Linked DNA regions of Drosophila melanogaster. The protein of the gene in region 2 interacts with the protein of the main gene of each other region in a pairwise test. Each region holds a gene or a part of one and is shown on either strand. Other genes may lie near its edges.

Evidence for each region.
Region 1: the proteins of CG7606 (region 2) and CG14989 interact in a two-hybrid assay, tested with the Drosophila melanogaster proteins (one large-scale study listed by BioGRID).

The regions. Positions count from the first base shown.
Region 1 is NT_037436.4:4,085,564-4,089,319, forward strand, and holds the start of CG14989 (uncharacterized protein), read left to right. Parts: upstream 1-2,017; 5' UTR 2,018-2,141; intron 2,142-2,648; exon of another isoform or gene 2,649-3,181; intron 3,182-3,396; 5' UTR 3,397-3,403; coding exon 3,404-3,651; intron 3,652-3,756.
Region 2 is NT_033777.3:17,594,746-17,598,501, forward strand, and holds CG7606 (uncharacterized protein), read left to right. Parts: upstream 1-1,790; 5' UTR 1,791-1,817; coding exon 1,818-2,018; 3' UTR 2,019-2,031; intron 2,032-2,086; 3' UTR 2,087-3,708; downstream 3,709-3,756. Other genes in the region: Sgs5bis, read left to right, coding at 1-145, 203-228; Sgs5 (salivary gland secretion 5), read left to right, coding at 647-914, 971-1,159, 1,219-1,253.

The sequences.
Region 1 (3,756 bases), on a different chromosome or scaffold from region 2:
TGTATCTCTGAGATGGAGCTGCGATTAACTACTTGTGGTCTAAACCAACGACAACTTACAGAGTTCTCTTCTTCCTAGCAACAACAAAAAACACTGAAAATCACTCGCGAAACGGAGGAGCAACAATTCGCTGATTGAACGGACTGGGAATTACTATTGGATTTGAAATGTATATATATTTTCACAGGTTCACAGGTTTCGGGCAACTTTCACTTTCGGTTTGGGAAACTTAGGGAACTGAGCAGCCTACACTCGCTGACGATCTGCGGAGCTATGAGCAGCAGCATCCGCCTGAGTTGCCTACGAAGCTTTTCGCATCCAAAAAATGGCTGCCCATATACCACTACAAGCGTACCTATGTATATACATACTACTCCTCAATCTCTTGCATAACCTTCAGCGACAACGACAACAACAGTGGGGCTGAGGAAAATGCGGGAAATTCTCCGGGTGACGTCATTGATTTTTCGGAAACCATCTTTGTTAAGGCCATTTTGCGTGGGCGGAGCTTCGGCCATGCGCGCCCCAAAGTATCCAACAGATACACATGAAATATGTGCGCACGCCTGGTGAATGCTAAAGAAATAATAAAACGGGATAAAGGGAAAGGAAAATATAGATTGTGATGGGGCGACCAAATGAAAAGCTAATTAACAAACTAATTTTGCCACTGTTTCTGACATTTACAATGACCCACAACTTTTTATGAGAGTTTCCTGTCGAATGAAACAAAAAAAAATAACCCTATAATTACTTTCATTTCCCGCATATATGTACATATGTGCGCTTAGATATAGAAGCCAAAGCATATAGATTCCTGGTATATAGAACAAAAACGAAATTTGGGTCAAAGCTAGGCCGCCCGCCCACTTGGGCTATGCAAAATAGATATGTATCTCAGAGTGAAATTGCATCATTTCCAATAGAACGCGTTTCGTAGCATACTTTTGAGGGCCAGAGAACATCTATGGCCATGTTATGCAACTTGGGTAAAGAGCCCAGGAGCAGCAGGACCAAAAAGGACGTCCATCAAACTGGAGAAGCTTAAACAACGAGAACCCTAGGAATACTTGCCGCAAAAGAGTTCCACCCACTCCACTTCCATTCTTATCTGACACACGGAGCAGCTGGCGTAGGATGTTACCACACACTTGGCACTTGGCACTTGGTCCTGCTGCTGCTCCAGCTCCTGCTCCCTGGGCAGGATCCAATGCGTCAGCGTATTTTCGTTGCGAGGGCTCTGGCACTTGAAAAGTGTCTTTCGATGTAACTGATTGCAACTTAAGAAGGCCATTACAGTGGCAATAACTCCCTTGCTAGTCCCTGTGATCCATCTTTTTTATTGAATGCCTGCAATATTGGCAAAATGAAGTCGACACTTGTTCAACATGACTTTCAAAACATTCTCATAGGGCGTAGTGCATTACTTTGTAGCACTAGCTAGAAGAAATCCAACGGCAGTTGCAGAAAGTCCATAAAGCCGTAATTGCACAACGAAATCGTTACTTTTGATGTGGCAACAACTGTGTGAAAGGACTTTCTTCGCAGTTTTTTAATTGTTAATTGCTCAATTGCTTTCTTGAAACAATAAAAACATTTTAGAAGACCTTAAGTGACAAATATGGCGCCTAATAGATATGAATTTGCACCCTACGCCTTAACATCTGCGTAACCCTTTAACAAAACCCATCCATCACAAGTGTCAGACAAATATTTCTGATACAAAAACAGCTCATGGTATTTAGAACCACTAAACATGGCGAAATAAAGTCGCCTGCTATCTGAAAAGCACTTCAACGGCATGTGCTACCAATAATAATTAGGCACTCGGTCTGCACTTATCGCAGATATATGGCAAACAGACCAGTCTGAAAAGGAGGGGGGGATCGGGTGTATCTGCGATAGTCTATCCTCTGATTCGCACTTGAATCTATGACACCGGCAGATAAAGCCATCAAAAACATTTATTATTAGTAAGTGGGATTTTCGTTTGGGCCGGTTTGGGCTCAGTTGAACAACTGCTACCATTTGTAGCGGACAGCTTTATATAAATCCCGTCGAGTTAAGGATTTAAGCATTTCGAGCGGAGCAGGTGCCACGAACAATCGGATTTAATTGAGTCAAACTTTTGGAAAAGCACAGTGAGTTGTAACAGGAAACGGAAACAGAAACAGAAACAGTAACAGAAACAGCAGCAGACATGGACAAACAAAAGGATTATGGGTTTAAGCCATTTTAAGAGCGATGTTTAAAATACTCTCAAAAATAATGGTTGCAATACAAGCATGTCGCCTTGCAGTCCCTTTTAAAAGTTATATGTACATTTTTAAGGAATATTTTAGTTAAAAGAATAGTCATATTACTAAAAATAACAAAGCTTTGAAGAACTATTTATTTGATTTTAATCAAACTAGAAAGCTGAAAGGGATTTGTAAAATTATCAAAAAATAAAACTATGCAGTCATTAAATATTTAATACTTCATTATAAACATTCCTTATTATTAATGATAGCAGATAAATAAATTGAGATAGATACTTTGCATCAGTAGAAATAGTTAGACAGGATCGATACCCTTTCATAAGAGCACAACTAGCGAATGGAATTGAACAATGAGATGAGCTCTCGACCAGAAAATAGGATGCTCACCTGGCTGTGATTGCACGTAGCGCAAGTAGGCCCTGTAACCCAGATAGGCGAAAATGTTTGGAGTCAAGTGCCACCCACGGATGCGGATGGAGCTGGGAGCTTGGGTCTGCTATTCTCGGGCGGCTAATTCAGACCGGGCGTTTCTGGCCAGGGCGAAGCGTCCTCTTTGGCACTCGACTCTCAACTGCCAGCCAGAGGCATCAGAAGCACAGTGGGCCAGGGAATGCTCCGCACCCCGGGGGCCATGAACATTTTTCGTTGCCCGTGGAAAACAAATGGGAGTTTGGGAATTTCGACTGTTTAGCCTGTCATTACGCTGACAAAATAAGATTCCAGCAGGTTGGTTAGCTGAGGCATTTATGTGAGGTATTTTCGACGAGAATCCCGTTGCAAAAGCGTTGTCAGGATGCCAGAATGCCAGGATGCCAGGTGGGAGTCTCAGTTGCGTTCGAAAGACAGGCGATTGCATAACCCCTTTCGGTTTGGCAAATCAAGCGAATGATATTCGGATAGCAAATGCTCGGGATAACAATGGTGTAAGGATTAGGCCCCGCAGGCAAGTACCCCAAACGCTGCTTTTTGCTGCCTATTTTTGAGAGCGCGATAATTGCATTTCGAGCACAATTGCTCCTATTGTACGGGGCCAAACAGTCTCCATTTTGGCCCAGTCCTCCCTGGAGGATAATACGCCCCAAACCAGCGTGAAAAACCCATCCCCCAGTTCCGTAATCTACCCATCTCTTTTCAGCCCAGCGATGGGAGAGCGTGTTGAAAAGCGACAGAGAAAAATGGGGGGATGTGGATTACAGCTCGTCATACCATTGGTCACAATCCTCATCCTGGCTGCGCAGGCGCAGGCTGTGACGTCATCGCCCGTCCTGAAGGACGACACTTTGGGGGATGCTGCTCCGACGGCAGCGCATTCAGCAGCCAAAATCCTTGAAGACGTCCAAACCATCAGCGCAGTTCAGGATTGGAGTTTGCTGTGTAAAGAGCTCTGCGGGTAAGTTTCGGATAAACAGCAATCGAAAACTCTAGGAATTACTGAAAGTAAGGTGCCTCGGCGCAAAGTGACTCAAGTGTTTATTGTTGGCAAGTGCAGGTTTCC
Region 2 (3,756 bases):
CGCAAGTGCTTCCTTGGATGGCCTGTGCTGGCCAAGTTCCCGATTCCATCGCCATGCGGATGCAATGGCAAACAGGGCAGTCTGGAAATCAAGAAGTTTTTGAGTCTGTGCGAACTGCAGAAGTACGCAGCTGAATGCAACAAACGTAAGTTGATGTTTGTATAGAAATATAGTTAATAACATAAATAATTATATCTTTCAGCCTATATCAGCTACTCGAAGTGTTAAAAGATGACTTGTAATTGATGATGATAATTTGACTACCTCGAACGCGTCCTTGTTAAAAATAATGAATAAACATTTTAAAGCAGCAAACGTTTTTGTTACATTTGTCTTAAGAGTTGATTGACTAAGCGCCTAAAACGGTGCATTATTACCTGATTTTATAAGTCTTCGTTGCTTATGTTTTTTAGAGTCTGTTTTTAGGAACCTGTGTGATAAAGCTTTTTTTTGGAGTGGAAAATTTATGGCTGTGTTTTTTTGGCCAGTCAAGGTTGTTTGCGTACGTTCTGCAAACATTTTACTTTCAGATGCACTAAGTCAATAAAGCGCTTTGCCACAACTGCTAAAACAGTGGAGTGTATTCAATATAAATAGCCAAATGAGATATTATGGGGACAGTTATATTCTTAGCCACTTTTACGACATGTTCAATATTAAATTGCTGCTTTTGTTATTGGCCGTTTCGTGGTTCCACCATGGACAAGCCGTCCAGGAGACGAAAATCGAAGAAAAACCAGTATCAGAGCCTGAAATTGAATCCGAAATAAAGAACTCTACGAGCGTCCCAAGTAAATGCAATATTTACTATAGGAACTACCAATGGGCTCTTCAGGATTGTGTCTGCCGTTGTTTCCAAAACGAATGCCTTATGCAAATCGAGAGCGACCAGCGCAAAAAGGAGGGTAGATCCCGTAAGTAAATTAACCAGTTAAGTAAAAAGTATTTTATTTATATCTTGTAAATACAGCATTTGTGCCCGTTACGGAGGAACTCTGCCGTTCCTTCATCTGCAAAAAGTGCAGCGTGGGTTTCCCCGTGGTTGCTGAATTCCCCATTCCGGCTCCCTGTGGATGCAATCGAAAGCCAGGATCGATTGCCACAGAGAGATTCTACAGTTTGTGCCACCTGCTGAAATTCTCAGCGGAGAACAGCAAACGTAAGTCAAAAGAATTGGTTCCAAATTTTCGGTAATATATACATTTTGTATCTTTACAGCATTCCTGACTTATTCCTATTGTTGGCCCTTCTAAGTGAGGTGGATTCAGTTGGATCACGTTACTAATATCTTTGTTTGTTTGTTTTATTATTTTGTTGATTTGTTCATTTAAAGGGAGATGGATTACAAATAATAAAGAAATATATTCAATGACGAGTGCAATAAATTTTTTTGAATATGAAAATCTTTTTTAGACTAAACAGCTATGCATATGTTTAAACATTGAAAAGCTTTTTATTTTTCAACACCATAATTTATTTATTTTTTTGGTCTTTAACTTTTGGTTAAATGTCATTTTTTTTCCTTAAAAACCAGTAAATAGTATTTACATATATTGAAAATATTTACAAATCAATTATAAACGCAGAACGAAGTGTTATCAACCTTGAATCGACTATAAATTTAAAGAAAACATATATTATTGATAAATAAAAAGGCGCAGAGCCACTCGTTTACTTAATCAGCAGTGATAGCCTAAAATAGAATAAAAGATCAACTGATCAAATAATGCCCTACCCCCAAGTTGAACCTATAAAGAGTCGATCCTCATTCCGCCTTGGCACAGTTTCAAGTGGACTTCGATTTCTACAGCCAGACAATGTTCAATATAAAGTTAATCATCCTGGTTGCCCTGACCATCTCCATGGTCCAGAGCTGTTCCGTTGAGGAGCCGGAACAGGTCGAGTGCGGGTGTGGGTGTGGCAAGCCGCAGTGCCTCTCTTGCGGATCCAGATCCTGCGGATGTGGCTGCAACCCCTGTCGATGTCCTTCCTCTTCCGGGTGTGGCTGCAAGGATTAATCCAGGACTCCAGGTAGGTGTAGCACAAAAATGGTGTAAAATATTTCATTAATATACCCAAATTGCAGGACCCCTTCAGAACTTTGCCTTCACAAAACCTTCGTTTTTCAAATTATTTGTTTTTCCTTTTCATTAAAGTACTGATACATTTTGCAAACTTTCATCTTTTCGCACTTTGTGCGCTCAATTGTAAAGGGAGCGGTACAATGAGCAGACAATCATTTTCATTGCATTGATCACTTTTTTATTCATATTCGTTCACTCGTTGGCAAAGTAATTCCTTTGTTCTTTCCACCACGCTTTCTTGATTTCCCCAGTTCCGAGTTCCGAAATGGGAAAACAAAAGGAAAAGTAATCATATCGGGACCCCATTCGCCTGCCTTTTCCCTCGGCTACATCTCGTTTGCACTTTTCTACGTGAATTGCTTCCTTTGTCCTTTTAGCTGGAGTCCTGCAGTATTTAATTTCATTTGAAGGATTCCAAAGCCAGGCTTGTCTTCGAATTGGAAAAGTAAAGAGTTTATTTATCCGTGCTAAACACACTTCGGTTCAAATTGGCGTATCTGACCAAGTTCCTCCTAGTATCCTTTAAATATGGATACAGATGACCCAACTGTCGAGCCGCAGGATGCCTGCGCCTAATAGCCGTAAAAGCCTTATCGAGTCATTTAGTATGAAAACAAGCAATTAAAATGATGAATATGCAATAAACGTGGATTGTGTATACAGACCCATTCGCTGGCGAGCACAACCACTGCCTCTCAAATAAAGGACAACTCATACATTTTATATGCTAATGAGCGGCACAAAAAAATAAAGGAGTCGACATTTTTTGGGAGTGAATTGAAAGGAATAAGGCGAGCATACATTTGCCTAATGAAAATAGCGCCATTAAAATGGGAAAAACAACTTTAGATACCGAAATTCGAAACACGGCGACGTCTGGCAATTAAAAGGATACGAATGGAACAAGCTCCTATCAACTACCCGCTGTGATGTTGAATATGTATGCATTCTATCTATATATATATATGTATATATATATATATCCACATGATCACCTAGCAAATTAGAGATTAACACGCATGTGTCGTCCTTTTTGGGCAGTCCTTTTGACTTCTGGTTCATTGACCGCCGCCGTGGCAATAAAAGTAAATGGATCTGAAAACTTGGCGGCCGGTTTTATAACTTAACGAATTAGAGCAATTTGAGAAGAACTATAAAAACGTCCGGAAAACCGCAGAGGTATGTTGAAAATGTTTGGTGAAAAATTTCCAGCGGCGCGTGCCGTTTCATTTAGGTAAGGTGGGCCAAATACCAAGGGGTGTGTTCAATAGGCCACAACGGACATTAGAACGCGAAAGGGAGGATCCATATCAGTGGAAAATTAAGTGCATTTCGAGGACTTAAAAATTGGTAATTAGTGGGGGGAATAGGGAGAATGACGGGACACACCCGTGCCAGTTCATAATTGCTGTATTGCTGCATCTTGTGCTATGCAAACATATTAATTAATTCGAGGCCTATGCGCCTGTCAGTTGTCAGTTGTTGGTTGTTGGTTGTTGTTGTGCATCGCATCTTGGCCCAAACCGATTCAGTGAGGGTCAAGTCGGGTCGGGTCAACAACTTAATTATAGTGCTTAGTGTGTGTGTTTTGCATTTCAGCGTCCAATTTATTATTTGTTTCTCCAATTGCTTGACCCGCCACGCCCCGCACTAATTTGATAATTGCATAGTT